2 linked regions of the Stegostoma tigrinum genome follow. The protein of the gene in region 1 purifies or fractionates together with the protein of each later gene. This does not show direct contact. Links are inferred from orthologs where the notes say so. Each region holds a gene or a part of one and is shown in the gene's direction. Other genes may lie near its edges.

What was found.
Region 2: the proteins of unm_hu7910 (region 1) and lrrc59 purify together in Homo sapiens (co-immunoprecipitation; 3 studies listed by BioGRID and IntAct, with this or other methods). This does not show direct contact. The link is inferred for Stegostoma tigrinum from reciprocal best matches to the Homo sapiens genes ASPH and LRRC59.

What each region holds. Positions count from the first base shown.
Region 1 is NC_081358.1:34,172,998-34,189,951, forward strand, and holds the start of unm_hu7910 (aspartyl/asparaginyl beta-hydroxylase), read left to right. Parts: upstream 1-8,023; 5' UTR 8,024-8,200; coding exon 8,201-8,258; intron 8,259-16,954.
Region 2 is NC_081375.1:36,164,444-36,180,615, forward strand, and holds the start of lrrc59 (leucine-rich repeat-containing protein 59), read left to right. Parts: upstream 1-9,302; 5' UTR 9,303-9,415; coding exon 9,416-9,532; intron 9,533-13,122; coding exon 13,123-13,182; intron 13,183-16,172. Other genes in the region: acsf2 (medium-chain acyl-CoA ligase ACSF2, mitochondrial), read right to left, coding at 2,276-2,397.

The sequences.
Region 1 (16,954 bases):
AGTTTAATAACATCTTTAAGAAAGCAGGGCAAACAGAATTTAGGCAGCATTCAAATGTAGACTTACCAATATCTTAGTACAAGAATCACAATGACTTAATGTGAATATCTGGGAGGCTAAGTTAGATGCAAATTGTCTTCTTCATCTCTTCTGAAGCAGTGATATGGGATTTGCATCCAGCTGTTCACAGTTGCTGCCAGACAGGCTGAGTTTCTCCAGCACTTCATTTCTGAACTTCAGGATCTGCAGTGCTTTACTTTTGTTGGAAACAATATGATCTTTCCTTGTGGGCATTTGGTTGTCAGAACACTGTGGGATAATTTTAGACAGTCTTTGAGTCAAATCTCTGGATTTCCCCAATTTCACAGCAAAGCGTACCCAACACTATTTGAGGGAGAGGTCCACTCAGCACCTTCTCAGAAGTTATTACTGTCTGGAAGTGGATATTTCTGGATGTGAGTTTGCTCGCTGAGCTGGAAGGTTAGTTTTCAGACGTTTCGTCACCATTCTAGGTAACATCATCAGTGAGCCTCCGACAAAGCGCTGGTGTTATGTCCCGCTTTCTATTTATCTGTTTAGGTTTCCTTGGGTTGGTGATGTCATTTCCTGCATTGGTGATGTCATTTCCTGTTCTTTTTCTCAGGGTTGGTAGATTGGCTCCAAATCAAGGTGTTTGTTGATGGAGTTCCGGTCGGAATGTCATGCTTCTAGGAATTCTCTTGCATGTCTCTGTTTGGCTTGTCCTAGGATGGATGTGTTGTCCCAATCAAAGTGGTGTCCTTCCTCATCTGTATGTAAGGATACGAGTGATAGTGGATAGTTGTGGCTAGTTGATGTTCACGTTTCCTGGTGACTAGCTTTCTGCCTGTTTGTCGAATGTAGTGTTTGACACAATTCTTGCAAGGTATTTTGTAAATGATGTTCGTTTTGCTTGTTGTCTGTATAGGGTCTTTTAAGTTCATTAGCTGCTGTTTAGTGTATTGGTGGGTTTGTGGACTACCCTGATGCCAAGAGGTCTGAGTAGTCTGGCAGTCATTTCCGAGATGTCTTTGATGTAGGGGAGAGTGGTTCTGGTTTCTGGACACGTTTTGTCTGTTTGTTTCTCCATCAACAAAAACATTGATTTGGAGCCCATCTACCACCCTCTGAGAAAAAGAACAGGAAATGACATCACCAAACCCAAGGAAACCTAAACAGATAAACAGAAAGCGGGACATAACACCAGCGCTTCACCAGAGGCTCACTGATGATGTTACCTAGAATGGTGACGAAACGTCCGAAAACGAACCTTCCAGCTCAGTGAACCAGCTTACATCCAGAACAAAATAAAGACCCACTCTTTTCTGGACCGAGAAGAGGAGAGCGCAACTGTGTTGGAGTTGGAAGGAAGACGTTGGGTTGGCTGTGCACCCTTGCAACTGGTGGATCTTAGTGCCGGCTTTGGCCGAACGCCGGTTCAGGGTAGCAGCCAACCTGCAACGATGGCTGCGGCGAGTGCTTGTGCCCCAGGTCAGGGGGTCCGGAACACCATCCGCGTTTCCATGAAGAAGGTGGATGAAGGTGCACCTGTGGACCGCACCTTCTTCGTGAAGAGGGTCCTGTTGGACTGTTGTGGGTTCGCTGCTGCGGACATTTACTGCCTGCAGGATTTCCCCGGAGGAGGTTTTTACGATGTGACCTTCAGGAGTGCCAAGCTTTGCAAGCGCTTCCTGGAGGTTTTCAAGGAGAAAGGAGGTGAGGGCCCCTCTCCGTATTGACCGCTGTCCCGCTTTTCGTGATGCCAGTGCAGAGGAGTCGTATGGTGACTGTACACATGTACAACCCACATGTGCCAGCAGCAGATGTCCTGACCTTCCTCAGAAGGTACGTGAAGGTGGAAGGGGACCTAACCAACATCATGGACCCCTTCGGGATCTGGACCAGTAAGAGGCAGGTCACGGTGACGCTGAGGACGGGCGCGGACGAGAACATCGTACACCCACCGTCCAGCTTCGCGATCGGTGGGAGCAAGGGCTACCTGACCTACGCAGGGCAACAAAAAGTCTGCCATGCCTGTAGTAGGTCAGGTCACGTGGTGGCCGACTGCAAAGCCACCATCTGCAGGATCTGCAGGGAGCAGGGACACCTTGCAAAGGATTGCCCAAAAGAAAAAAGCTGCAACCTTTGCGGGGAAGCTGGCCACCTCTACAGGGCATGCCCTCGGTGGGGGACCACCTACGCCCAGGTCGCTGGCAGGGGCAATGCGGGGCAAGCCCCCACGGAGGAGAGGAAGGCACCAGGCCCCTGCAATGACCCCCCTAATGTGCAGGAGGGCCAGGTCGTACAGGAGGGCCCAGCCCCGCAGGACGGACCCAAGGCCAGCAAAGCCCCCCTGCAGGCTCCGCTCCTCCCCGACAACCCGGAGTCAATGGAGGAGGCGACAGGGGAGTGGACGACGGTCCGGAAGGTGAGGAGGAAGGCGTGCCGGCAGGCCCCGGCACCGCAACCATCAGGCGGGAACAGGCAGCTACAGGGGGGCTATAAGAGTTCTTCTGACAAGGGAGATTCGGAGGAGGCCCGCCCAAAGCAGAAGCTAAAGATCTCAAGGGAGAAGGAAAGCAGCACCCTGATTCCAGGTGACAGGAGGCGTCCTGAGGCTCCCTCCGACTCCCAGACATTCGTCGCTTGGGCCCTGGAGGGCCCCCCTGAACGTTCAGGCAGGAAGCAGGAAACAGCATGTCCCCAGCCTGACTCAGAGCCGGACTCTCCTGCCCCCATACCCCCGACGGGGGGATGCCACCCGGAAGTCAGCACGGACGGGTTCCTGAGCCCGGAGAGCGTCCAGCAGTTCGCGTGGGCAATGGGCATGAAGGGACAGATGGAGGGGCTGGACCTTGGACTCGGGGAGGGTACTGCGGTCACTGCCCACAATGGGGGTATGAGTTGTGAGCGTTAATGTGCGCAGCGTCAAGTCCACCGCAAGATGTGTGTCCACGTTGGCCTACCTGACCACCGTCAAGGCGGACCTCCTGTTTCTGCAGGAGTGCGGGATACCGCAACTCAGCAGGTACGGGAAATGGGCGGGCGCCCGGACCTGTGGGCCTTCGATCTGGTCGGGGGATAACGACTGTTGCTCCTCGGGCCTGGCTATTCTGCTGCAGGGGCGCAACTTCACCATTTCTCAAGTTCAGGAGGTGTTGGGGGTGTGCCTCATAGTGGCTGATGTCACCTATAGGAACGCTCCCCTGAGGCTGATCAACGTGTACGCCCCAGCGGTACGGAGTGAGTGTTTGGCCGTCCTGCAGCAGCTTCCACCCCTGCTGGCTACGTCCAGGCCGGACATCCTCGGCGGAGACTTCAACTGCATCATCAATGCAGACGGAAGATCCGGCGTGGGGACAGCGGGTGGGGGGAGTCAACTGGATGTCACGTCCAGATTCCTGATGGGCACGTCGAAGGACGCCAAACTGCTCGACGTCTTCAGCACCCCTGCATACGGAGCGCAGCGGAGATACACCTGGTCGCGGCCAAACGGGTCATTCCGCTCAAGGATAGACTTCCTGTTTGTGTCACCAGCATTCTCAGTCAGGTCCACCGGCGTCGAGCCGGTGTTCTTCTCTGACCACTGCCTCCTGCTGGCCGACTGTCACTTACAGGACGACCAGCAGGCCGGCAAGGGGACGTGGAAGCTCAACACGACTCTGTTGGCCCTAGAAAACGTTGAGGAGCTTAAGAGGGAGTACGCTGGTTGGAGAACCATGAAACCCCTCTTTGAGTCTCCGGGCAACTGGTGGGAGACAGTGAAGGAGAAAATCAAGAGGTTCTTTGTCCTTAAGGGTGTTCGGAAGGCGAGAGAGAGGCGGAGAAAGCTGTTGCGACTCCAGAAAAGGATGCAGAACCTGCTCCTTCTGCAGTTGATGGGGGTCGATGTCACGGAGGACCTCCGCGAGGTGAGGGGCCAGCAAGCCTCGCTCTTCGCCGCGGAGGCCTCCAGGATAACCTTCCGGTCCAAGATCCGATCCGTGGAGCAGGACAAGATGTGCTTGCGTTTCTTCTTTCAGAAGGTGCACAAGGAGAGCTCTGTGCTTAGCTGGCTGAAGGAGGACGATGGCTCGGTGTCGTCGTCTCGGCCTGACCTTTTGAGGATCAGCAGATCCTTCTATGCCGGACTATATGACGCGAAGCCCACGGACAACACGGCCTCCAAGTCGTTCCTGTCGTCTATCACGGAGGTCTTAGACGACGGCACGAGGGACTGGCTGGACCGGCCGATATCCCTGGACGAGTTGACCAGAGCCCTCAAGTCCTTTGAGAGGAATAGAACTCCCAGGAGCGACGGCTTACCAGTCGAGCTGTATTCCGCTCTGTGGGACCTTGTCGGCCAGGACCTGCTGGAGGTGTACAATAGTGTGCTTTGGGCAGGGGAAATATGCAGGTCCATGAGGAAGGGCATCATCACCCTCATTTACAAGAGTAAGGGGGAGAGGGAAGAAATTAAGAATTGGCGTCCCATTTCACTATTGAACGTGGACTACAAAATCCTGGCCAAGGTCATAGCCAACCGGGTCAGGTCTGTCCTGGAGTCAGTGATTCACCCTGACCAAACCTGTGCTGTGCCAGGCAGGAAGATCGCTGAGAGCCTCGTGCTCATCAGGGATACGATCGCCTACGTGCAGAACAGGAGGGTGGACACCTGCCTCGTCAGCCTGGACCAGGAGAAGGCCTTCGACAGGGTCTCTCATGCTTACATGAGGGATGCCCTCTCCAAATTGGGGTTCGGTGAGGGCATCCGCATTTGGATCCGGCTGTTCTACACCAACATCATTGGCGCAGTCTCGATCAACGGGTGGGAATCGGACAGTTTTCCCATCAGATCTGGAGTCAGGCAGGGCTGCCTGATCCCTCCTGCCTTGTTCGTGTGCTGTATGGAGCCCTTCGCCGCATCCATCAGGAAGGACGTGAGCCTGAAGGGCGTGACTATCCCAGGCAGCGGAGGCCTTCAGGTCAAGACCTCCCTGTACGTGGACGACGTCGCTGCCTTCTGCAACCGATTGTCGGACGGTGAGTAGACTGTTGGACATCTGCGGCCAGTTTGAACTGGCCTCGGGTGCCAAAGTCAATAGGGGTAAGAGCGAGGCCATGTTCTTCGGGAACTGGGACAACTGCCCCTTCATCCTCTTCCCTGTCAGGACAGACTACCTGAAGGTGCTGGGTGTTTGGTTTGGTGGAGCTGGGGTGTGCACTAAGACTTGGGAGGAGCATATCACCAAACTGAAGCAGAAGCTGGGCAGGTGGACGCTCCGGTCCCTCTCCATCATGGGTAAGAACCTGGTTGTCAGGTGCGAGGGGCTTTCGGTACTGTTGTATGTGGCGCAGGCCTGGCCTATCCCCTGGACCTGCACCGCTGCGGTCACCCGGGCCAGCTTCCACTTCATTTGGGGGTCGAGAATGGACCGGGTCCGCAGGGACACCATGTACAAAGACCTGGGAAACAGGGGAAAGGACGTACCGAACACCAGCCTCGCCCTGATGGATACCTTTGTATGTGGCTGTATCAAGCTGTGCGTAGATCCTCAGTACGGAAACACGAAGTGTCACTACTTACTGAGGTTCTACCTGTCCCCGGTATTGCGAAGGATGGGCCTGGCCTCGTTGCCACGGAAAGCTCCAAGTAGTTGGACCGTCCCGTACCACCTGTCCTTCGTGGAGAAATTTTTGAAAGGAAACACCTTTGACCACAAGGCCGTCAGGCAGTGGTCAGCACGTAGTATCCTCGAGACCCTTCAGGAAAAGGAGAGGGTGGATCCCGTCGCGTGGTTCCCCACGCAGACTGCCAAAGTCGTTTGGCAGAATGCCTCATTGCCAGAACTTTCAAACAAGCACAAGGACATTGCTTGGCTGGCGGTGAGACGGGCTCTGCCAGTGAGATCCTTTATGCATGCCCTGAATCTCTGCGCCACCGCACGCTGCCCTCGAGGTGGCTGCGGGGGGGACGAGACTGTCTATCACCTCCTTCTGGAGTTGCCTATGCGCAGAAGGTCGGGAAGCGGATGCAGTGGTATTTGTTGAGGTTCGTCCCGAGCAGCTCCGTGACACGCGAATCCGTGCTCTACGGGCTGTTTCCTGGGACGCACACCGAGACCAACATCAACTGCGCCTGGAGGACCATCAATGCGGTGAAAGACGCTCTTTGGTCTACCCGCAACTTACTGGTCTGCCAGCTGAAAGAACTGACCCTGACCGAGTGTTGCAGACTGGCGCGCTCCAAGGTCCAGGACTACGTGCTGAGGGACGAGCTAAAGCTTTGGGTAGCTACTGCCAAGGCACGGTGGGGAAAGACCACCGTATGAAACCCCTCGTCCAGAATAGAAAAAAGGGCCCTATCTGGTAACTAGGCCCAGCCGGCGCCTTCCCCAACTGGTCAGGGGGCCAACAGGGACTGTGCAGGGAGACGACCGCCAGGGTATTTTCTTTGCTTTGTTTTTTTCTTTGTTTTGTGTTTTTCCTTTCGTTGGTGTACGTACCCCCTGGGTAACCCGGAGCGGCTTGCATGACTGGGTAGGTGTATAAATGTTTTACTTTTTTGTACATTCTATGAATAAAGTATATTTTTTCAAATAAATGGTGACGAAAAGTCTGAAAACGAACCTTCCAGCTCAGCGAGCAAACTCACATCCAGAAACTCAACCTGAGCTACAAATCTTCTCAACACTCGCTAGTAGATATTTCTATTGAACCTGTTTAGAGGTGTTATGACATGCCTCTTGATCAGATGAGAGTTGAACCCAAGCCTCCTGGGTCAGAGGTTAGGATACTAGCATTTCACCACAAGAGACCTCCCTATTTCATCAATAAGCAGGTTGCATGGTGGCTCAGTGGTTAGCACTGCTGCCTCACAGCACCAGGGACCCAGATCCTTTTCCAGCCCTGGGTGACTGTGTGGAGTTTGCATATTCTTCCCACGTCTATATGGGTTTCTGTCAGGTGCTCTGGTTTACTCCCATAGTCCAAAGACGTGCAAAGCAGATGGATTAACCATGCTGAATTGCCCACAGTATTCAGGGATGTTCAGCTAGGTGGATTAGCCACAGGACATGCAGGGATAGGGTATGGGTGTGGGTGGGATGCTCTTTGGAGGGTCAGTGTGGGCCTGTTGGACCAAAAGGCCTGTTCCCACACTTAGGAACTCTCCTGGCCCAGAGGCCCTGTACAACCACTGTACCGTAAGAGCCCTTAAACATTTTATAACCAACCTGTACTGAGATGTTAAAAACAAAAATAGAAATTGCTGGAAAATCTTCACAGGTCTGGCAGCATCCATGGAACGAAATCAGAGTTAACATTTTGGATTGAGTGACCCTTCCTCAGAGCTGCACTGAGGTGTTGACTCTTTGGATGCAGCTGACGACCGAGCGGCGCTGGGAAAGCTTGAGGCTTCAAATAAACCTGTTGGTATGTAATCTGGTGTCATGTCACTTCTGTCCTTCCGATGCAGAGTCACTGGACTCGAAAAGTTAACTCTGAAACTTTCCACAAATGTAAGTCATTTCTGCTGATTTTCTCCAGGAAATTCTGTTTTTGTTTCATAATACCGCACAGAAATATTTCAGATGTCCAGCTCTTTCAGTCATATTACTGAACAGAAATTTATTAGCCCATAACCCACGTCTCCTGGCCTAGAGCGAAGGACATTGCCACTACTCCACAAGAGCTTGCCCTCGAGTTTGGAAAATATATGTTGATACTACGAGATTACTACACGATTCTGATGTCGGCGGGATTTGAACTCGAAACTCCTGGATCACAGGTAAAGATTCTTGCAACACGCCACCAAACCAAAAGGGGTGGGGCGCCAAGGCGGCAGCAGCTCTTCAGCTCCTGCTGTCGGCCGGTGGCGCTCTCGTTCGAGGTTTTTCGGCTTCCATGTTGCCACGTTCGATGGGCGCGGGGGGCGAGGCGGAGCATCCCGCTGGGAAGCCAATAGCAAAAAGAGCCTGACGGGAGACCTACGATCGATTGGTGGAGGGGGCTGTCGATCAGCCTGCGGCCACGCTTTCCCCACCCCCCCTTCCACGGCTGCGGAGGGATTTGGTCTTGGGGGTCAGGTGAGGACTAACGGCCGCGAGAGCGAGTTTTGTGTGTATGTGTGAGAGAGACGCAGAGTTGCCCGGCTGTCGCCGCATCCTTCTCTATCTGCTGGCACGTTTTGAACGAGTGAACCATGACTTCGAAGAACAAGACAGCTAACAGCCGTTCTAACCCGTCAGGATCCAGGAAAGGTGAGGGGGATGGGTTTGACGGCCGGGCCTGGGAGGGGGCGAGAGGAGGTCCTGCCGCTGCTCGGCGCGGGGCTGCCGGATCCGGTATTCACCCCCACCCGCTATGGGAAAAAGACGAAGGAAAGTTGGAGCTTTTACCCCCCATCCCTCCTCTGGAATGGGTTTCCCGCTGCTGTACCCCTTTTTTTCCTACCCGACCCACTTACCCCCCTCGCCCATCTCCCACCGCTAACGTACTGTCAAATGCTCCTTGCTCTGGTTTGCTGGGTGTGTAAGACAGGGTCCGCCCCATGTCCGTGTGATCATTGCTTTTCATGCAGCGTTTGTGCTGTCTTTCGGATCGATTATATGCTACTTCTTTTCAAAGGTCATTGATACATCTCAGCTCTGCTTTTATATCCGTGTTTCATTTATCAACATTTGTGGTCTTTCTTTTTAAAACTGGATGTTAGAGAAGATACGTGGTTCCACTTGCATAATTGTTAATTCTTTCAGTTTCTCCTTTTGTAGAAACTGAAGTTATAACCCATCCTGAACTATATAGGAGCAGCTGGGTTTGCCCGATTCCCTTATACAGCCTGCACATTTATCTACTTTTCTTTCTAGATAATTAGGAATTGGACAGTTACATAGCCCGTGTAAGGCCATTAGAAATATTAACAGTGGACCCTCAAGCCTTCTCTACTGTTCAGTTGGATCATAGCTGATCCAACACCCCTGCCCTACTTTCCTGCCTTTTCCCTATGATTCCCTAACTGATCAAGAATCTGTTTAACTCAGCCTTAATTTGATTTGAATTTATTGGTGTCATATGGCTCTAAGTACAGTGAAAAGTCTTGCTTTGCGAACAGTATGGACAGATCATAGCAAACAAGGACATACAGATCATAGAGTGCTTAGAGCAAAGCATACAAGGTTACAGCTGCACAGGAGATTTGAAGTTAGTCTGTTTAGCAGCCTAATAACAGCAGGGAAGAAGCTGTTCTTGAACATGCTGGTGCATGTGTTCAAGCTTCTGTATCTTTTCCCTGATGGAAGAGAGTTGTAGGATCTTCAGACCTGTAGATTTAAAATATACACAACGACTCTGTCCCCTCAGTGCTCTGTGACAAGGAGTTCCAAAGACACTCAGCCCTCGAGAGAACAAATTCCTCTAATCCCAGTCTTAAATTGGAACCTTGTTATTCTGAGATCTGAGCCAATCCTGAGCCCTCTGGCCCTGGACTCCCTCATGAGAGAAAGTATGCTGTCAGCATTTACCATGTCAAGACCCTTAAGAATTGTATATGTTCCAATGAGGTCACCTCATTTTTCTAAGCAGTTCCAACCTGTTTAACTACATACTCAACAATTTTGAGTCTAACCATTGGCTACATTTAAAAACAAAATGGTTTTTCTTCTGTCACTCTGATTCTTTTGCTATTCATCTTGTATTGATGCCTTCTGGTTCTTGATCTTTTGCAAATAGAATGTTTCTCTATCCACTGCATCCAGATTCCTCAGGATTGAACAACAGTCAAAACTCAAAGCAATCTTTTTGAAGAACAACCAATGAGTCTGCCATCTGTTTGCATGACTAGTTTCTTATCCTTGGAAACAATCTCTTGTCTGCACCTTGTCTAAGGTCTTCGTACCTTTCTTCAGGGAGATGTCAGCTTTGTCGACACAAATTCACTTGAGGCTGAATCAGTGCTTTTAAAAAAGCTTTTCATAACTAGAACACCCCTAGCATAGCATAATCCAAGTCTGCCACTCTGTTGGGACTGAGTACCTGCAGACTTTGATTCCTTTTGTCCAGAATGGAAGGAATAGCTGGAGAGCCATAGGTGGGTGTTGAGTGCTGCACAGTGTGATTTGCCTTGTGTGTTGATCTTGATTATATTGTGCTTATTTTTTGTGATCTTTATACCTATTTATAAGCAATTCCCATTTATATCACTTTTATATAATTGTAATATGTAGTTGTAACAGTTGGAAATGCCTGTTGTTCACTGGAAAAGGACATGGGTGTAGTTACAATGCAGTGTGGAGCTGGAGGAACACAGCAGGTCAGGCAGCATCAGAGGAGTAGGAAAGTTGATGTTTCGGGTCGGGACCCTTCTTCAGAACTGTTCTGAAGAAGGGTCCTGACCCGAAACGTCAACTTTCCTACTCCTCTGATGCTGCCTGACCTGCTGTGTTCCTCCAGCTCCACATTGCGTTGTCTCTGACTGCAGCATCTGCAGTTATTGCTATCTCTTGGTGTCGTTTCGTCTGGGTTTATAGTATGTGTAGTTTATATAGTAATGTTGAGACATTTCAGTGTGATTCAGAAATTGTTTACAAATCATGGGTGTTGCTTGATTTTAAACAACTCGTCGATATTTTTGAAGGCAAAAGTTTATTGCATAGGCAATGAGGAAACTCAGACTTTGAATGTGAATGTTGAAAAGTGTTACATGTATTCTGTTCAAATGCTGCAATTCCTGTGTGGAGAACTGGCTGCTGAGTGGGGGTGCTTAAGGATGTTGTTGACCTGAATTTTCAGAAAGCTTTAGATATATGGTTTGATTAATGAAAATGAGAACTTCTAAAACTAAAGAGACCTATGGGACATAATTTAAAAATTGTGAAAGGATATGAAATTGGACTGGAAAGTTGACGGAAATGTATGAATTGAAATGTGATTAGTCCTTTTATCAGTGAAATGTATGTGAGCTGTATTCTGTATTTTATAAAATGGTATATTGCAGAGAAGGAAGCAGAAAGTGACAGATTGTCGCTAATTGGAACTGAATGTGGGGAAGGCAGAGGTTTAGACCGAAGGAGAATAAGTCAGAATATTTTGTGAATTGGAAGAAATTGGTTCAGCAGAGACTGGTATACAAATTATTATGTAAGCAGACACAAGCAAAACCAATCAGCAGTTCTTTGTTTTATTACAATTACATTGTTGACATTTAGCTGTGTGGTTGGAATTGCGTGAGTAAGTTGGGGCTGACTATTTCATGCATGCGGGGAGTGAAATGCTTGGACTTTCTGCCCTTCTTTTAATGTGACTTTTATAGGGTAACTTTCTTTGAGTGGGGAAAGATAACGTGCCATTGCCTCAGCTGGGTAGGCAGCTAATGTGTGGCTCAGAATATGCCAGCAGCACAAGGTTTCATTCTAATTCCACCTGAGGTAGATTCTGGGCTTGCCCCCTTGACTGTTCAGCAGCCATCTTAATAATTTCTTCAAAGCACACTATTTCATTCTTTGTAAACCTTGTCTTTTGAATATCCTTCAAAGTAAAGAGCTTTAATTTGCAAACTTGGTTAAATTTAACCAACCGGAGAACACAGTCCAAAGTATTGCAGCGTTGAGAATAGTTAGAGAGAGAGAATAGACCTCTCGAGGAAAAATAATAATGAGAGAATAGGACCCCTTGAGGACCAAAGTAGACATGTATATATGGAACTGCAAGAGATGGGCAAAGTCTGCAGTGAATACTTGTACTGTGTTTACAGTGGAGAAAGACATGAAAACTTGAACTTGGGGAAGTTAGTGGCGACATCCTGGGGACAGTACAGGTGGTGTTGGAATTGACCTAGAAGGTTCATGATGGTAGGGCAACAGATGCAGTCTATATGGATTTCGGTAATGCCTTTGAAAAGATTCCACTTGGTAGACCGCTCTGGAACGTCAGATCACATTGAATCCAGGAAGAGCTGGCACATCGGATACGCAATTAGCTGGATGGTATACTGGAAGGAAGCTTGCCAGACTGGCGGCCTGTGACTAGTGGGGTGCCTCAGGGGTCAGTGCTGGGCCCATTGCTGTTTGTTATCTGTAATCAATGATTTGGATAAGAATATACAAGTTATGATTAGTAAGTTTGTGGATGACACTAAAATAGGCTGTATCATGGACAGTGAGGAAGGTTATCAGAAATTGTGCAGGATCTTGATCAGCTGGGGAAGTGGGCTGAGAATTGGCAAATGGAGTTTAATATAGACAAGGTGTTCCATTTTGAAACTTAAATCCAGGTAGGAGTTTCGAGGTGAATGGTAGGGCCTCGAGGAGTGTGGTGGAAGAGAGGAATCTTGGAGTTCAGGTGCATGAATCTCTGAACGTGGAGTCACAGGTACACAGGGCAGTGAAGAAGGCTTTTGATACACTGGCCTTCATCAGTCAGGGTATAGAGTGTAGAAGTTGGGATGTTGTGATGCAGTTGTCATGACGTTGGTGAGGCTACACTTGGAGTATTGTCTTCAGTTTTGGTCACCTTGCTATAGCAAGGATGTTATTAAACTGGAAAGAGTGCAGAAGGAATTTACAAGGATGTTTCCAGGACTCAAGGGACTGAGTTATAGGGAGAGGTTGGACAAGCTAGGACTTTTTTCTTCAGAGCATAGGAGACTGAGGGGGATCTTACAGAGGTGTATAAGATCATGAGAGGCATGGATAGGGTGAATGTACTCAGCCTTTTTCCTAGAGTTGGGCAATTGAGGACTAGAGGGCATTGGTTTAAGGTAAAAAAAAGAAAGAATACATGGAAATCTGAGGGGCAACCTTTTTAAACAGAGGGTCGTATGCATATGGAATGGGCTGCCAGTGGCAGTGGTTGATATGGGTACATTAACAGCATTTAATGGATAGGAAAGATTTAGAAGGATGGGGGCCAAGTGCAGGGAAATGGGATGGACATTTTGCTTGGCATGGACCAGTTTGGGCCAAAGTCCTGTCTCAGTACTGGAAGTCTCAATGACTCTGAGAATAGCACAGTTGACAAAGTAAGACATTGTAGTTTTATCTATCAAGATTTGAGTCTGCTCCAAGAAGGGCATTGTTTCTTGCCCTTTTTAATTTGGCAAGTGTAGGAGTCTGCCTTGATGGCATCATGAACAGGTTGGATCTTGTGGTTGTCATTCAGAAGTAATTTCCACTTCTAAATTATGGATTAGTATTATACCTGCTCAGTTACAGATAAGGAATAGAGAAGTTGATTGCATGACACTCAATATTTTTTTCTGTCTTCAACTATGTTACCTGGCTAAAAACAAAATTGAAATGAATAAGCAGATACCACAAATCTCACGACAGCACGTAACTAACTGGTAATGTGTGTATCAAGCTAACAATCTGTCCTGGAGTTGAGATAGTATTTTATCAAGATAATTTGTTCTAACTGACGATGCTCCTATGCATATGGACAAACATGTTGTCGTGTGAGGCATTGTGCATGATACATTATAATATGCTCAGGGCACAACACCTTGCATATTTTTTCTGGTCAATTCACGAATGAAATCTTTGCAATCATCTTTCTGAGATGGTTGTTTGGAATGATAGAGATGTTCAGAATTCTATTTCTAAAGCCAAAATTATTGTTCCTTCTGATTTAAATGAATAAAGCAGTAGCTGGAAGGAAGACGTGCTCTACTTTTGGGAGGAGTCATCAGCAAATAGATGGATGGTAATTATTTCAGCTCTTGATTTACAGAATAAAAACTGAAAGAGCTGTGGATGCTGTAAATCAAGAACAGAAACAAAGTAGCTGGAAAAGCTCAGCATTTTTGGCTGCATCTGTGAAGGAAACTGCAGAGTTAACCTTTCGGGACCAGTAGCTCTTCCTCAGAACAGTTTGTGTTTGCTGCTCTGTGTGGTGGAAACTGATGAACTGGCCCCAGGACTTAAATTTTGATCCTGAAAAGTGCCTTGTCCATCACAGATTGCAATAATTAAAACAAAATTTTGTGGATGTTGGAAATCTGAAACACAATGCTGGAGAAACTCAGCAGGTTTGGCAGCATCTGTTGAGAGGGAAACAGAGTTAATATTTAAGGTTTCGGAGTAGATTTGTAGCTCGGGTTGTGCATGTTGAGGTTGGTTGGCTGGTTTGTTCCGCAGACGCTTCGTCACCGTACTTGGTAATATCCTCAGTGCAGCCTCTGAAGAAGCATCAGTGTGTTTTCTCACCTGGCTCTTAAACTCTGGGGTCCATTGTGATGGATTGCCTCACTTCCGGGTTTCCTCCATAGAGGAATGTATATGGGGTCGAGTTTAATGTGTTTATTAATAGCTTGCTTCGTGGAGTGCCACGTTTCCAGGCATTCTCGTGCGTGTCTCTGCCTAGCCTGTTCCAGGATCTTGGTGTTGTCCCAGTCGAAGTGGTGGTTCTTCTCCATGTGGATTGAGATGAGTGAGTATTGGTCATGTCTTTTTGTAGTTGGTGTTCATGTACTCTCGTTAGTTTCCTTCCTGTTTGCTCAATGTAGTGTTTCTTGCAGTCTCTGCAGGGGATCTTGTAGATGACATTGGTCCTGTCCATGGTGGGGAATGGGCCTTTAGTTCGGGTGAGCTCTTGTTGTAGGGCTGATGTGGGTTTGTGTGCCCCTCTAATGCCCAGTGGTCATAAAAGTCACGTGGTGAGTTCTGATGTGTTCCTGATGTAGGGCAGTGTGATGAGTGTGTCGGGGCATGTAGAATCTTTCTGCTGTTCCTGTAGGCATCTCCTGACCCAGTTCTTTGGATAGCCATTATCCTTGAACACTTGGAAGAGATAGTCCTCCTCTGTATTCCTCTTCCCCTTGACATAGTTCCATGTTGTTGCCCTTTTTAAATAGTGGATATCCAAAGAACTGGGTCAGGAAATGCTACTGAAAAGATATTCTGAATGCCACATGAATGGGTAATATGGTAGCTGAATTATGCTGCCTGCGTGAAACTACATACATAAGCCATACAGCCAAGACCAGCAGGTTGTATTAGATAGTGTAGTCTTTCATGGCGAGTAAGCTTCTGACCATACCCAACCAGCCTACCCTCATCGATATCATAACCGTGCACAACATTAAATGTAATCCCAGTAGGACTTATCTACTAAATTTAAGGTTGAGTTGGGTTTGCAGAGTGGTGTATTTGCATGTACAGTTTTATAGCTATTAATGTAGCAGGCCCTTTTTTATGCAAATCGAATGTGTACACAGTGCACTTGATTCAACTGAACCAAATAGGTGCTATTCACTGGTTAATTTTCCTTTCCATTTGGGGGATGTGGGCGTCATTGGTGAGGCCAGCATTTATTGCCCATCCATAGTCTTTGAGTTGGTTAGCTGCCATCTTGAATCAGTGCAATTCACATACCGTAGGCTCGTCCCAAAATGCCATTCAGGAGATAGTTCCAGGATTTTGACCTGGGGCACAGAAGGAACAGTGATATATCTTCAAGGTAACTGAAGGAGAACTTGAAAGTGATGGTGTTCCCATATTTGTTTTTGTCCTTCTAGAGGTAGTGATCACAGGTTTGAAAAGTGCTGTCTAAGGAACCTCCATGAATTTCTGCAGTGTATCTCGTAGATAGTACACTCAGTAGCAACAGAGTAGTGGAGGGAGTGAATGTTATGGATGCAATGCTAGTCGAATGTGCTATTTTGTCCTGGGTGGCTGTTGTTCTATCACACTGCTGACTTTGTAGAGAGTGGACTGGTGTTGGGGCGTGGAGAGGTAAATTTCTTGCTGCAGGATTCCTAGTGTGTAATTTGCTTATGTAACCACAGTGCCTACATAGCGTGTCAAGTTCAGTTTCTGGTCGATGGTAAGCCCTCAGGATATTGACAGTGGGGTTTCAATGATAGTAGTGCCATTGAAGATCAAGGAGAAATGGTTAGGTTCTTATGGGTGATGGTCATTACTGGCATTTATGTGGCTGAAATGTTACTTGCCACTTGTCAGCCTAAACCTGGACTTATTTAGCCATGGACTGCTTCACTGCTCTGGACAGTGTCGTGATGAGAGTCCTCTTGTCTAAAACTTAGACAAAAGCCTGGCAAACTCCATCATTATTGGTGTATGCTGCATGGCAATGTCTCTATCAATCAGAGCTCACCTGCCAACCGATCAATACTGTCCTCCCACACACTGAATGTTAACTTTTCGTTATTATTCTTGACAAATGTCCTGATTTGCACAAGGCAAGAAGCTTTGGTAGAGTGTGTTATTTGTCACCAATACTTGAGTTCGGTACTAACAAGTAAATATTTAAATAGAAGTAGAAAGTTATTGACTTCAAGTCAATGTATTCCGTTTATTGAATTAAAATTTAAATTTTTTTTTTGTTTCTAAGTCGACAAGATCCAAAATCCAGCTTGGACTGAGTTCTGAGGTTGTAGGTTTTGGGATAGTTTCTGCAATAAATTAGCTTTTTGAAGAGCTTACTAGATAGTTACAGTATCTATACTTTATTTCATGAAGGATCTTCCCAGCTGTTGTTGAAACTAAAACTAAGGGACATATGTGAAGTATGAAAGGTTTCTCTTTTAAGACAGGTTGTTTTTTCTCCCACTGAATAATCAACTCACATAATGATTTATCATGCAGAGTAGTATTTAATAGAGTTCCTCCTTGCATGAAAGGAATGTTGCTGTTCTGTTTCCAAATGAGTATAATGAACCACTGTATCTGGCCTGTGCATCAGAACTGAACCCAGTTATTGCAGCCAGCTTTGTTGAAAGTGCACAAAACGTCTGAAGTAAAATGTTGGATGTATGCAACAGTTCATCAGTATAGATAGAGGAAGGAGTGTTATATACCTAAAGATGTTTCATTTTTAATATTGTCTTTTAAACTTTTTAATACTAGTCATTTAAGAAAGATAAATGCTTTGTTAAATTGTTCAGAAGCATGCTTACAATTAATTGAAAGGTGCTGTGAAGCTACTGAATTTGTGAAATGCA
Region 2 (16,172 bases), on another chromosome or scaffold:
GGCGAAGGGCTCCACACAGCACACGAACAAGGCAGGAGAGAGCGGGCAGCCCTGCCTGAATCCAGATCTGATGGGAAAACTGTCCAATTCCTACCCAATGATCGAGACTGCGCTAACGATGTTTGTGTAGAGCAGCCGGATCCAATTGCGGATGCCCTCCCCGAACCCCAATTTGGAGAGGACATCCCTCATGTAAGCATGAGAGACCCTGTCGAAGGCCTTCTCCTGGTCCAGGCTGACAAGCCAGGTGTCCACCCGCCTGTCCTGCACGTAGGCGATCGTATCCCTGATGAGCGCGAGGCTCTCAGCGATCTTCCTGCCCGGCACAGCACAGGTTTGGTCGGGGTGATTCACCGACTCCAGGACAGACCTGACCCGGTTGGCTATGACCTTGGCCAGGATTTTGTAGTCCACGTTCAATAGTGAAATGGGACGCCAATTCTTAATTTCTTCCCTCTCCCCCTTCCTCTTGTAAATGAGGGTGATGATGCCCTTCCTCGTGGACTTGCACATTTCCCCTGCCCGAAGCGCACTATCGTACACCTCCAGCAGGTTCTGGCCGACCAGGTCCCACAGAGTGGAATACAGCTCGACCAGTAAGCCGTCGCTCCCGGGAGTCTTATTCCTCTCCAAGGACTTGAGGGCTCTGGTAGCTCATCCAGGGATATCGGCCGGTCCAGCCACTCCCTCGTGCCGTTGTCTAAGACCTCCGAAATAGACGGCAGGAACGGCTTGGAGGCCGTGCTGTCTGTGGGCTTCGTGTCGTACAGTCCGGCATAGAAGGATCTGCAGATCCTCAAAATGTCGGGCCGAGACGACGTCACCGAGCCATCATCCTCCTTCAGCCGGCTAAGCACAGAGCTCTCTTTGTGCACCTTCTGAAAGAAGAAACGCGAGCACATCTTGTCCTGCTCCACGGAGTGGACCCTGGACCGGAAGATTATCCTGGAGGCCTCCGCGGCGAAGAGCGAGGCTTGCTGGCCCCTCACCTCGCGGAGGTCCTCCGTGACATCGAGCCCCATCATCTGCAGAAGGAGCAGGTTCTGCACCCTTTTCTGGAGTCGCGACAGCTTTCTCCACCTCTCTCTCGCCTTCCGAACACCCTTGAGGACAAAGAACCTCTTGATGTTCTCCTTCACCGTCTCCCGTCGCCCGGAGACTCAAAGAGGGGTTTCACAGTTCTCCAACCAACGTACTCCTTCTCAAGCTCCTCGATGTTCTCTGGGGTCAACAGAGTCGTGTTGAGCTTCCACGTCCCCTTGCCGGCCGGCTGGTCGTCCTGTAAGTGACAGTCGGCCAACAGGAGGCAGTGGTCAGAGAAGAACACCGGCTCGACGCCAGTGGACCTGACCGAGAAGGCCCGTGACACAAACAGGAAGTCTATCCTTGAGCGGTCACTGTATATAAATTATGTGCCTGCGCACTTCACTCCATTCACCTGACTAAGGAGCAGCGCTTTGAAATCCTGTGATTTCAAATAAACGTTGGACTATCGAGATATAGGAACTGCCGATGCTGGAGAATCTGAGATAACACAGTGTAGAGCTGGATGAACACTGCAGGCCAAGCAGCATCAGAGGAGCAGGAAAGTTTGACGTTTCGGATTGAGACCCTTCTTCAAAAAAATGTTTCCGTCTCGACCCGAAACGTCAAACTTTCCTGCTCCTCTGATGCTGCTTGGCCTGCTGTGTTCATCCAGCTTCACTCCGTGTTCTCTTATGTTGGACTATAGCCTGGCTTTGTGTGACTTCTGACTTTGTCAGTCCCAGTCCAACACCGGCACCTCAACATCCTAGCTTTTACTTTAATGAGACACCACCCTTATTATAAAAGCAAAATACTACAGATGCTGGAAAACTGAAATAAAAATAGAAAATGCTGAAGAAACTCAGCAGGTCTGACAGCATCTCTCCATGGAAAAACGGAGTTAACGTTGAATGTCTTCGAATGTTGTCAAAACAAAATACTCCTATCAATTCACAGACTGGCAGCCAATATTCTACCTCTCACACGAGAGAATGAGACTATTTAAAATACGCTGACAGATGCTAATATGCACAGCCATCTGTGCCGAAATAACCACAAGACCCGGCGATGAGTGTTTGACAACAAAAACCTCCCAGTCACAGAAGAGATCCTAGAACAGAATGCTTGGGGGAGACACAAACGAAGTGAATGAGTCATTTCTCTCATTTCCACAACCGAAGACATTCTGTTAAATGACCGAAGACACTCTGATCCCCGAAGCTTAGTTACAGCCAGCGGCAGCCTTTACCTGTATGGGGCAAGTGTTTTTGTCCCACTGCTACTGTAGCCTTTCCAGAAATCTTCCGGGAAGAGCCGCCAGCTCCGGTTCCAGGGGCCGGCACAACTCCTCAGCCCGAACGCGAAGCCCATTATTACAAATACAGTGTAGAAAACGGCGATAACTCCGAGGGCTCCCTCTTAACACACTTCTAACTGAACTTTTACACTTCCGCAACCCACACTAAAACCAGATTAGAAGTTCCTTCCCGTCCAATGTCAGCGCAACAGTTGCTCAAAATGAAAGATGGACGGTTCTGCCGACCATTCAGTGTGTGGTATCCGCTGTCAAAGTCTGTTCCAGAGGTCCCAGAAAGAATTCGCCAATGCAGCAGAAAGAAAGCCCAGCGTTTAAACACATCATTGGGGGCAAACGAGACACTGCAACTTTGCTGAACACTGAGGGCAGCTTGTTCTTTGACCCTATGGTCAGGGGTAGGGTTCAATCTCTTTAGAGGAGGTGTGCGGGAGTAAACAGGCAAACTCGGGTAATCAGACCGGAATGCAGCGCCAGGCCAGAAGTGACTCTGCCCACTACAGCCGTTTATAGTATCAGAAATTCCCCACTGAAATCACACCACAGCACCCGACATCTGCAATCATACAGCATTAAAGAAAGAAACTGAACTGTTCAGCCCATCGTGTTTCTGCCAGCTGTTGTGAAATATCTCACTTCCTCAACATCAGGCGACGTTGTTTGGGTTGAACCCACGCTGCAGGCGTTACTCTGCATCACAAACCAACGTCAACCCAACTGACCCTAGTCTGTGCGGGGATTTTACTCTGCATCACAAACGAACCCTCCAGTCAACAGCCTGCTGAGTTTCATCAGCGATTTTTGTTTCTTTTTGTCTTTGAAATAACTGTCCAGTTAGTCTCATTGTGGAATACCAGAGTTTCAAAAAGCAAAACACTTTGAAAAGACTGGGGATGTGGTGGATGGTGTATACAATGGGGTGTGATTTAAGGATAGAATTTCCCTGCAAATCTGTATTTGACATAATGTGAAAAGGTGAAGATCCAGGCATTTGATCTATTTTGTTTTCAGAAATTACCAGGGCTCGAACATTTAATACAAACACGGGATTGTCCAAGCATGAAGGATCACTGGATGAGAAACGTTAACTCAGCAGGTTTTCGAGCATCTGTTCAGAGAAAGCAGAGTTTCTCCTGCACTTTCTGTTTTTGTTTCAGATTTCCAGCATCTGGATGTTTTTGTTATTTTGTTTCCAAGGAGGCAACCATGCAGCATCTGGATGCTTTTGTTGTTTTGTTTCCAAGGAGATAACCATGCAGGCAGGGCGCACATAAAGACAATAAGAGGGATAAATCAGATTCAAAATTACCTTCCTAATTTTAAAAGCTGTTCCCAACCATAAATCTGAATTTCTAATCTGTGTTGATGCTGTCACTTAATAACCATATCTATCCAGATAATTTAGCTGGAATCAATGAACTAACAGTAATTCAACTGTTAATACATTTTCCCCATCAAACACAGTGCAAGTGAGTTGCAGAATAAATTGCTGAGAACACTGTCCCTGTGAATGCTCTGAGGGGAGATGCAGCTAGGCATAGATTCAGAGTAAAACTCCTTTCTATACTGTCCCCACCAATACTCCCAGGGCAGGTACAGCATGCGTTGCGTACAAAATAATGCTTCCTGTACAATTTTACAACCCCATTGAGGCCTGTAACTTTTTTAAAGGATTGAATTTTCCAAACAAATAATAGAAATATAACAAAGGACAAGATCTCACCTTTTAAGACTTTTACTGTAACAAAATATAATCTACATAGATCAAGCCCTAACCTATACATAACTAATGCACCAAACTAAAGAAAACTGTATGTTTTGTATTTACCAACTAAGACAACCAGAATATATATTATCAAACACTTTTGTTCAACATCATGCTTCTGATAGATATGCATCATTAAAAGAACTATCCCAAAGTCACCTCCAGCTCTTCAAAGGAGCCATACTAGGCTGAGTTTGTAGTGTTCTTCAACAATCATTCCATTCTGCCTGGGATCTCACAGATTATAATTATCACCAACAGGTACACTTCATTGGATATGTCTCTCCAGCAGATCATCACAGACCAGAAGGTCTAGAGATTCCCAGATTTGACCCTTTAAAGTTGTTTAGCCAGCTCCGACAAAACTGTTATCACATTGTTATTTGTTCCTATTCCTCAATATTTCTGACAGAACAGCAGCAACGACCTTTCTGGCTCCATACTTTTTCTTTCCAATTCATAGTAGCTGTTCTAGTGAAAGGTGTTAAAACAGCCATTCCACGTCAATGGGCTTTTCTCCTGATGGTGACTGGATCACAATGGCATTTCTCTGAGCCAAAGTGCTTGGAGAAGACATTTTAAAACACATAATTGTCTTGTAATGTTCAGTTTTTATACCACTGTCCCCACCAAATGCTCCCGGTGAAGGTACAGTATAAATTCAACGTACAGTAAAACTTCTTCCACACTTCCACATTAAATAATGAAGCAGGTACAATACTGTTTTGATACAGAACAAAGCACCTTGCAAAGCAGAGTTATCTAAGCTCCTTCCGGGAAGATGGTGACAGAGTAACACTCTCCATGCAGACCCTCTCTACTCCGCCTGTTCTTTTTCTTTTGTTACTATTTTCTTCTCTCCTTTTAACGCTCCTGGAGCAGTGATTGGGGCAGTAGTCCCCAGAACAGCACAAGGGAAAGTGTGTCTCAAAACATCATGAGAGGAAGCTTGGCCTGGAACAACTCGAGGGAAAATGAGTCCTGGAGATCTGCGAGAAGAAAAGCCAGTCCAGGAGCAGCGCAACTTACCTTGGTGTAGCTGAGTGTCTGGTGGAGCAGCTGGAGACTTGGAGTGGAGTGGGACTGTTGTTGGTCAGGGGCCTGGCGTGGGCGATCAGACCACGTGCTTGTTGAGCTGCTGCAATGTAACATTGATCTGAAATTCTTTACCGGACTGTAATGTCAATCCTTTAACTTTGTTGTAACTATTCTACTTCTAACTTTTTTTTAGACACTGTAAGTAATGCTATTACTTTTCCTTTTATTCCTGTTTTGTATCCAACATTTATACCTAGCTACTTCTACCTAAGATGGTGCCATTGTTAAAACTTTTCACTGTACTCATGTACTCCTCTGCTGGAGTACATGTGACAACAGTGAATACTCTATCCCTTGCACTAGGGGTGTGGCACATTTCAACTTCTCTTTCTCTTTAATGGGGACTGTGATTGGAAGTGCAGTGAGCAAATATAAACATAAGGTTTGGCACAATAAGGGGTATGAATTTTTTAAAATTCCAAAGAAATAAATTAATCATTTAAGTAAATTAGTAACTCATAAAATTGCCATTAAAATGTGTCAGCGGCAAATACAAGTTTTTTTTAACCACCTTGGTTAAGAAACAGAGCTAAAGCTGGACTAGGTTGCAAGTCCTGATCACCCAAAGCTGTGGGTAGGCATTGAGGCCAAGTTGACTCGGATTTAACTAACACTGATCTTGCTTTCATGTCTGGCAACACACACTCTGAGCTGGCCTTGGTACAATTCATATAGAAGTGGGGGTTGAGTGGGGGAGAAGTGTTAGAAGCATCTTGTCTTTCGGCCAGGGTATTCCTGCACACCCATGCTGCTTTGCAGATTGGTTTTGAGGAATGAAGAGGAGGAGAAAAGTGAATTTGTGTTTGGCTTCCTCAGTCTCAAGGTTCATAGAAACTCTCCCACTCCCCACATACACGCAGAAACACACACATTCACCCCTCCACTCTGTTTCTCCCACACAAAAACACACATGCCTGCATTCAATCCTCATGCACACAAACGTGCACCCTTGGTCCTAAACCGACACTGTCCCATATCCGTACACTCCCATTCCCCATACAAGCTTTTTCTAATTCCAATACATACTCACTTAACCACTCTGACATTAACTCGCCTACTCACGCTCCTTCATTCCCATATAAATGCTGCCAAGTGATCAACAGGCCTGCTCCACCACCTTGACTGCAGCCTTTCAGGGCATCAATGCTTCAATGAAAGGGAGAGTGCTGTCATCTCACAACCTGTTTGCTATCCTGGACCCTCCTTCCGTAAACCACTTAGCATCTCAGAGTCTTCTCCCCCATCTCCCTCACCATCTTAAATCTTTCTACCCCATCTCCTTCACTATCTCAGAACCTTCTCCTCCATTTCCATCACCATCTCAGAGTCTTATCCCCTGAACCAGTTATCACATCACAGCCTGTTCTTCTCACCCACCTACCGGGTATGCTGTCCTTTACAGTCTCCCCCACACAGCAGCAGGCTTACCATTGTTCCCAGTGTCCTCCTCAAGCTCATTGAAGATAAGGATATTTGCTGCTCTTCCAAAAAGAAGTTATTTATACATAGAATCCCTACAGTGTGGAAACAGGCCATTTGGCCCATTGAATCCTCCAAAGAGCATCCCACCCAAGCCTACACCGCCCCCCCCCCCCCCACCGCCATTCCTGTCACTCTGCATTTCTCATGGCTGATCCACCTAGCCTGTACATCTTTGGACTGTAGAAGGAGCCCATGCAAGACATGGGGAGAATGTGCAAACTCCCCACAGTCACCTGAAAGTGGCACAAACTGTGGTCCCTGGTGCTGAGGGGCTGCTGTGTTAACCACTAAGTCACCATGACATCCCAAAGTAAGGAGGTCCTTGGTCTCTAGATGGTTTCAAACCACCAACCTTCTGGTTACAGCCAAATGCACTAACCTACTGCAACACACAGACAGGTGCCATTTCTTTTCTGTGTTGCTGCCCATTGGCTCAGTAGTGAACCGATCTATGGCAAGGGTGGGAACAAAACAGCTTCAGAATGATGAGCATCTCCATGGTGGATCTCTAACATGTATTTAACTGTATTTACAACAAGGCTTGATGGCCAGATAGGCCCTCTAGGAATAAATTGGATATAAATTGCAAAGTTTACTTGAGTGGGATAAAGAGGAATTTTATTACCCACTGACCCCCATAAAATATTAAAAATGAAACATCAAACACCTAAAATACTCAGGTAATAAGTTTAAAAAGGAAGTTGAGGTATGGACAGGAAGTAATGGCAATTTCACTTTAAAGTGCTCAGAGTCCTTGAGTTGTGAGAATGACCTGAATGCTAACTCGTTCTTGTCTTGCTTCTTCAGTAGTGACAAAGTTTGTAGATCTTTGACTTCCTAGGTGACCGGTTGTTTTCCCAAGTTGGTTTTTTGCTGGGTACTGACTTCAAGTTTAGGAATAACAGGGAGTTCCAGGTTCTTGTCTAAATAATCATATTTCTCTCTCACTTCTCCTTTGCTGCTCAAAAGCTGTCTTGATATAGGTTTACTTATATATTCTTGAATCTGTTTTATTGCTTTTTCAAACTAAATAATGCACAGGTAACCTTTTATCTCCCAAGGTGTGATTTTATTGTGCAATTGTAGTCAGTTTGCTGGTTTCAGTCTTTAGATAACATGGCAGTCGCAATAATGCTGTTTTTCATTTATTCCATATCCCAAATTTTTCTCAATCTGTGGTCAGGAGATCACAGCAGCCATTTTTGGTCAGAATGTGGCCTTTTTCCAAGCATTTTCTGTCATTCAATTCTTAGGTCAATCAGGTGAAGGAATTTGAATATTGATGGTCCATTTTTATTACAATTGCAAGAATATGTTGATAAAAATCCCTACATTGTGAAAGTAGGCCATTTGACCCATCAGGTTCACATTGGCACTCCAAACAGCATCCCTCCCAGACCAATTCCCCCTGCCACATGCCTGTAACCTTGCATTTCCCAAGCTAATCCACCTAGCCTGCACTCTATGAACAATTTAGCATTGCCAATCCACCCAACCTGCGCCTCTTTGGGCTGTGGGAGGAAACCTGAGCACCCAGAAGAAATTCACACAAACATGGAGAGAATGTGCAAACTCAGACAGTCACCCAAGGCTGGATTCAAACCCTGGCATTGTGAGGCAGAAGTGCTGACCACTAAGCCACCATGCCACCCATGCCAAATTCAAGGCTGAATTATTTTATTCATGTACAGCTTAATTCACCATAGTTGCAATCTCTCCTTAGAGAGAAAGACACAACTGGTGGCGAGTTTAATCAATGGTTAATGTGCCAAGGCGAGAGTTGGGGTTGAGAAGGCAGGGCCTTCATAGCAACTTTAAGCCCTTATAGGAAATTAATCCATGCTCATGGCATCACAAATCAGCTGTACAGTCACCTAAGTTAACCTACCCATCTATATCATTCTACAAAGGAGTGAAGGATTACTGGAAGAGGGGTGCAGATAGGAAAATGGAGTTAAGATCACGATTAAATCAGACATGATCTTATTGATTGGCTGACAGAAATTCAGGGGCACGAATGGCCTACTTTTTCTCTGATTTCCCATGACTTTAAAAGTCATCTCGTAAATGGCAAAATCCAAAAGAGATCCCTCCAATCACTATTTATCATTCAATCATGTTTGTGAAGTCAAATTATCTGGTATTTATCATATTTGCTGCCGCGTGGCAACTGTTCTTATACTTTCAAATGATATTTTGGATTGCAGATTGGGGTTTATATTTTGTTCAGAAATCAGGGTTCATCTGTGAGTTTGGAGATTATGATTTGTAGTTGGATAAGAAATTTTGATGTTGATTTAAGTTGAAAATTTGATTATATTTAGGTTTGCAGTTTGGGTCATGCTTGAATCTGAAGGAGTTGTGTTTCTAAGATAGCAGGAACTGCTGATGCTGGAGAATCTGAGATTACACGGTGTAGAGCTGGATGAACACAACAGGCCAAGCAGCATCAGAGGAGGCGGAAGGCTGACGTTTCGGCCTTAGACCCTGCTTCAGAAAAAGAAACATCTGGATGAGCTGCGGATTGCAGTTAGTCAGTTCTCCTCCCGGATGATCGGAGCGCTGTTGAAGGAGTTGTTCCCAAAGTGGCCCCTCCTGGTTTCCTTGTCTGTCCCCTGGGAGTTTGATCTGACGTGTAGCTGCCGGTGTGGAAGGAGAGGCCGGGTGCCGGCGCAAATTAAGGCGGAGCGGGGTAGGGAACCGGCGCTAATCCTAGCTGCAAAGTAGAGATGCCGAAGAACAGCGGGAAGCAGCTGAAGCCGAGCCCCAGCCTCCGGGAACGGCTGGACGGACACGAACTGGACCTGAGCCTGAACGGCCTGAGTGAGGTCCCGGTCCGGGAGCTGGTGAGTGGCGGCCGGTGGGGGTGGGGCAGAACCGAGGAAATGTCTGTCGGTGGGCACCAGCGGGTTGAGACCCTGTGCGTGGGCAGGGCTGGAGTGCGATGGTTCCCACAGTTTGTCAGCCTGCTACCACTGCCCAGTCTCTCGTTTCGTAAACAGACGTTGAGTGCCGGGCAGTGTCCACTTGAAGCGGGAGGAAATGATAGAGGCTCCTGAGTCTGTAATTACACGTTGTGGACAAAGTTTCTCTCCCAGAGAGCGGTGAACTTGTGGAATTCTCTGCCACTGAAAGCGGTCAAGGTCAAAACATGGAATGTTTTCAGTAAGGAGTTAGATATGGTTTTCAGGGCTAAGATGATCTGAGGGTATGTGGAGACAACGGGAACAGGGTGCCGAGATGGATAATTATCCATTACCGTACTGAATGATGGAGCAGGCTCCAAGAGCCATAAGACCATAAGATATAGGAGTGGAAGTAAGGCCATTCGGCTCATCAAGTCCACTCCGCCATTTAAATCATGGCTGATGGGCATTTCAACACCACTTCCCTGCACAATCCCCATAGCCCTTGATTCCTTCTGAGATCAAGAATTTGTTGATCTCTGCCTTGAAGGCATCCAACGTCCCGGCCTCCACTGCACTCTGCGGCAATGAATTCCACAAGCCCACCATTCTCTGGCTGAAGAAATGTCGTCTCATTTCAGTTTTAAATTTACCCCCTCTAATTTTAAGGCTGTGCCCACGGGTCCTAGTCTCCCCGCCTAACGGAAACAACTTCCTAGTGTCCACCCCTTCTTAAACCATACATTATCTTGTAAGTTTCTATTAGATCTCCCCTCAACCTTCTAAACTCTAATGAGTACAATCCCAGGATCCTTAGCTGTTCATCATACGTTAAACCTACCATTCCGGGGATCATCCGTGTGACTCTCCGCTGGACACGCTCCAGGGCTAGTATGTCCTTCCTGAGGTGTGGGGCCCAAAATTGGACACAGTATTCTAAATGGGGCCTAAGTAGAGGCTTATAAAGCCTCAGAAGCACATTGCTGCTTTTACATTCCAACCCTCTTCAGATAAACAACAACATTACATTTGCTTTCTCAATTACGGACTCTACCTGCAAGTTAACCTTTAGAGAATCCTGGACCAACACCAGATCCCTTTGCACTTCTGATTTGCGAATTTTCTCACCGTTTAGAAAATAGTCCATGCCTGTATTCTTTCTTCCAAAGTGCAAAACCTCACATTTACTCACATTGAATTTCATCAGCCATTTCCTGGACCACTCTCCTAAACTGTCTAAATCTTTCTGCAGCTTCCCCACCTCCTCAGTACTACTTGCCTGTCCACCTATCTTCGTATCATTGGCAAACTTCGCCAGAATGTCCCCAGTCCCTTCTTCCTGATCATTAATATATAAGCTGTGGCCCCAACACTGAACCCTGTGGGACACCACTCGTCACCAGTTGCCATTCCGAAAAAGAGCTTTTTATCCCAACTCTCTGCCTTCTGTCAGACTGCCAATCCTCCAAATCTTAGCCAAATGGCCTACTCTTCAATTTTTTATATTTCTAACACAATCCATGTGGGGTCTCAACCTGTGTATGAAGTAAACCACATTGTGACAACTTTGGGTCTGATGATCTTAGCAACAGAAATAGGTCTTGCGTTATTGTTAGCAAGTTAATAGTTTGATTAAAGCAGAATGTTCTTATTAAAAATTGCAGAAGTGTTTGCCTATAGTGACATTACCTGTATTGTATGTCTCAAAATTTATGTGCCCATCAACAAACAGACGTTTATTTCTTGTGCATCTGTGTATGCAGAATCCACGTCAATCTACGCAATCATGTCAAAATAAAAAAGCTGGTGGTTTGGGGTGTTTTGAAAAGCATTAAAGTTGACAAGTCGCCTGGACCTGATGAGATCTAGCCAAGAAGCTGAGGGAGGCTAGTGAAGAAATCGGGGCTTTGTTCTACATCTTTGCATTCTCTTTAGTCACGGGAGACATTCCAGAGGACCAGAGAATTCCCTATCTTGTTTCTTTGTTTAAGAAGGGCAGAAGGGATAATCTGGGAAATTACAAGTGAGTGAACCTTATGTCAATGATAGGGAAATTATTGAAGATCCTTAGAATTTACTCACATTTGGAAAAAATTACATTTATTTGCATTAGGCAGCATGACTTGTGCAGTGAAGGTCATGTTTCACAAACTTGATTGCCTCAAAAAAAATTCAATGACAGACGATCGAGGCAGGGTGGTAGATATTGTCCATATAGACTTTAGCAAGACTTTTGACAAGCTCCTTCATGGCAGCCTGTTAGAAAAGGTGAAGTCACATGGGATCCACAGTGAGCTGCTAAGATGGATGCAGAACTGGCTTAATCAGATAAGACAGAACAGAGATGGAGGGGTGCTTTTCTGACTGGAGATCCCTGTTGCAAATGAATTGGAGGAGAATGTCGGTAGTTAGATTATAAATTTTTGGATGACACAAAGATTGGGGGAACTGCATTTAGTGAGGAGGATTTCCGGAGGATACAGCTGGATAGATAAACCAGAAACAGCCAGAGAAATGGCAGATGGAGTTTAATCTGGACAAATTGAGAAGATGCATTTTGGAAGATCTATGCAGGAGAGAACTGTACAGTAAATAGCATCAACATACAGAAGGATCTAAGCATACAGGTTCATAATTCTCTGAAAGAAGCGACACAGGTGGATAAGGTAGTCAAGAAACTATATGGAATACTTGCCTTCAGTCACTAGGAGAGATTATTTTTAAGTAGATGGCAAGTCATGTTGCAGCTGTATAGTACTTTAGTTAGGCTACATTTGGAATATTGTGTATAATTCTGATCGGCACAGTACCAAAAGGCTTTGGAGAAGGTACAGAAATAGTTTACCAGGATATTACCTAGATGGGAAGGTATTAGCTATGAGGAGAGATTGGACAAACTTAGTATGATTTCACTTGAATGTTGAAGTATGAGGAGCAACCTGATAGAAGTTTACAAAATGGAAATGCTCGGCTGGAATGGATAGTTGAAGTCTTTTTCCTAGGGTGGAAATGTCAATTACTAAGAGACAGAGGTTTACGGTAAACGGGGAAGTTTAAAGGAGATGTGAGAGGCAAGGATTTTTATTTTATGAAGTGGGTAAGTGCCAGGAATGTGCAGCCAGAGGAGGTGGTGAAGGCAGATACGATAGCATTCTTTAAGAGGTATCTTGACAGATATATGAATGGGCAGGAAATACAGGAATACGGTCCACCGTTTTCAGTTTAGAAATTTGGCACAGGCTTGGTGGACTGAAGGGCCTGTTCCTATGCTGTACTGTACTTTGTGTACTGTCCTCATCACATTCCTAGTTTAGGTTCATTATAAACCTATTTGTCTCACATTGCAATAGGAGATCCTTGAGTATGAATTAAGGGAATTAGAACTGAGTTGATGGTAATGCATTAATGAAAATGTTGTTTGAGCCTTGCATTCAATTCCTTCTGGGCCACCAAAAGTTCAAGTTTGCTGCCTTGTAATAGCAGCTGTGTTTTAATCCTATCAAACTTTAAAATAATACTTGTATTTTCAGGCAGCATTGCCCAAAGCAACCGTCCTGGATCTGTCCTGTAATTGTCTTGTCACATTGCCGGTAAGTTATTGTATAAGTCGCATCTGTTAGTGTGCGTGTGTTCTGTATGCATAAATTCCATGTGTTCTGGGGTGGGGGTGAAGGTAGCAATTAGATAAACAAGGTGTCATGTGACTTCTCTTGACAGCAAGAATCGCCTAGGTTCTGACTTTATCTTTGTCTGGGGAGGTGAGATTTCATAGCTCAGCAATCATCATGTGCCACCTCTGAGATAGTGTGATGTTTTCAAGAACATTCTTGATCCCTGAGGGAGTCAATACCATCAGGGGAGGGAGAAGGGAGAGCTGGTACAAATATACATTCCTCACTCAGAAAAACACCTTCAGGAGAGGGAGAGAGATCATTGACTTAGAAAAAAATGTTGTAATATGGTAATACCCTTGTGTGATTGTCATGGGATGCAGCATCCTGACTACAGCCTGTTCATGAAAATTCAGTTTTTACAAACACCAGAAAGTAGTCTGAGTACAATGCGTTTAGGGCAGCACAGTTGTTAGCACTGCTGCCAGGGACCCTGGGTCGATTTCAGCCCTGGACGACACTCTGTGTGGAGTTTGCGCACTCTCCCCAAGTCTGCATGGGTTTCCTCCAGGTGCTCCGGTTTCCTCCCACAGTCCAAAGACGTGTGGTTTAGGTGAATTGGCCATGCCATAATTGCCTGTAGTGTTCAGGGAGGTGTAGATTAGGTGGGTTATAGGGGGATGGGTCTGGGTCTGGGTGGGACGCTCCGAGGTCCAGTGTAGACTTGATGGGCTGAAGGGCCTGTTTTCACTGTAGGGATTCTATGAATGTGATGCATTCAGGACATATCTTCAATGGGTCAAAATAAATGAGAATAACAGAGTGAAAAGGCGTTTTGGTTCATCAAGAGCATGCTGGTGTTCATGGTCCATTTGCGTTTCTTCACACTGTTTAACAAACTATCAGTATCCAGTTCTCCCTCATGTTCATGTAATGTTTAAAGCTTCAAAACTGTTAAAGTTGTAAAGGCTCAAAACAGGGGCCTTAGGCCATCAAGTCTATCTGACCTCCGCAGTCTTTGCCACTCCCCTGTCCATCACAATATCTCTGCAACTCCTTTTCCTTCAAGTGCCCATTTAAGTTCCTTTAAATCATTGACCATCTCTATTTCCACCACCCCAACACAAACAGTGAGTTCCAAGTTATCACTCTCGCCCCACAAAGATGTTCTTCCTCAAATGCACCCTCTATCAGTTGCCAAAACTTTTACGTGTGCACCTTGGTCCTTGCAGCATTAGGTAATAAGAACAGCCATTATTTTAAGTTCACACTTCCCTGAAGTGTATAACCTCACATTTCTCATATCATCTTCGTAATTTTTTTTAAAAATGACTCCCGTTCCCTAATAGCCTTAAAGTCCACTCCAGCATTCATTATGAATAATAATGTGATCAGAACTATATGCAGCACTTCAAGTGGGCCCTAAGTGAACTAGTTTCTAACATTTTCCTTTTTTTGGACCATACAACATTGAAGGAGCCTGGACTTACAGGCTTCAAGTTTAAAGATGGATTGTCACCTCCAGCACCTCAAAGAATTGTTACATCACTCCCAGGACAGTGCAACACAGGTTATCTATAAAGTTTCCACTGCTGAGTCATCATACTCTCCCAAGACAGGTGCAGCATAATGTTAGATAGAGAGTAAAGCTTATTCTATGCTGCTGCATCATATCGCCTATGATGAGTACTTGTTTTTTGTGTGTTTTTTTCTTCTGCCTATTGCATTGACATTTGGTGGTTATGTAATTCTGTCCTGCGTCAGTGGATTAACTCTGCTTCATGCCCCAATCCAGCTGGTGAGAAACTTGTAGTCGTTAGCTGTGATTTAGTTTTTTTGCCTCTGAGTCTGAAGGTTATGAGCTCAAGTTCCCCTTGAAAGAAATGCACAGGATTTAAGCTGACATGGCCAGTACTGAAGGAGTGCTACATTGTTGAATGTCTTTATGCATGAAAAGTTAAGCCACAGTCTTCCCTGCCTTCTCTCACACACAAGATTTTATGGCCAGTAATTCAGATATCGGCAAAATGAATTGATTTGGTGTTCTGCTTAAGTTTTACCTCATTGCTGTTTGTGTGATCTTACTACGCCTAAATTGACTGCTGCATTTCCTATAGTGCTCAGTGGCTACCTTTTAAATAGTGCTCCTAATGTTAAAAAATGTGCAATGCAATGCACATTTTATTCCTTTTATTCCTCGCCCATGGAGGGAAATGTAGCTGATCCCAAAACCATTCTCACGCACATTGTACTGAGAGTTGTTAATCCATAGAATCCCTCGAGTGGAAACAGGCCCTTCGGCCCAACAAGTCCACACCGATCCACAAAGCAGCACAGACCATTTCCCCAGATATACACAACCCTGAACACTGTGGGCAAAGTGTCACATTGCATGGCAAACTTGCCACTGAGCCAACTGTAATTGGCTGAATAAATTACAAATTTTAATGGTACCTCGTGTCATTAAACAATATCCAATGAATGATCTTTACTGTTGTCTTAAGAACCAAGTAGTGAATTTGATCCAAACAATTTCATACCTTCTGTAATGATAAAATTATCATTTGTTTGCCAAAAAAATGCTTTAGTTATTCATAAAAAGCATTGTGTAAATTATAGTATCGTGATTTGGTTCTTGATATGCATCAAATAAATACCTTTGACTTGATCTTGTTTTACATTTAAAGCACTAAATTTATCTGAGGAAGGATCACTCATCTGGATATGTTCGTTCCAATTTCTCTCCACAGATGTTGTGACACCCACTGAGTTTATGCAGCAACTTCCATTTTTGATTTCGTTTTACAGTATATGATCAGGAGCAGGAATCTTGGCTCAGGGACACTGACATGAAATGTGGCATCCTGGTTGTTGATGGCTAGTTAATTTTGTGTAATATAGATAGAGTTTTGTCTCCCTTGAGCATTGTGGTGGGCAGGTTTGTATAATATTTTATTGTGAGCAGAGTT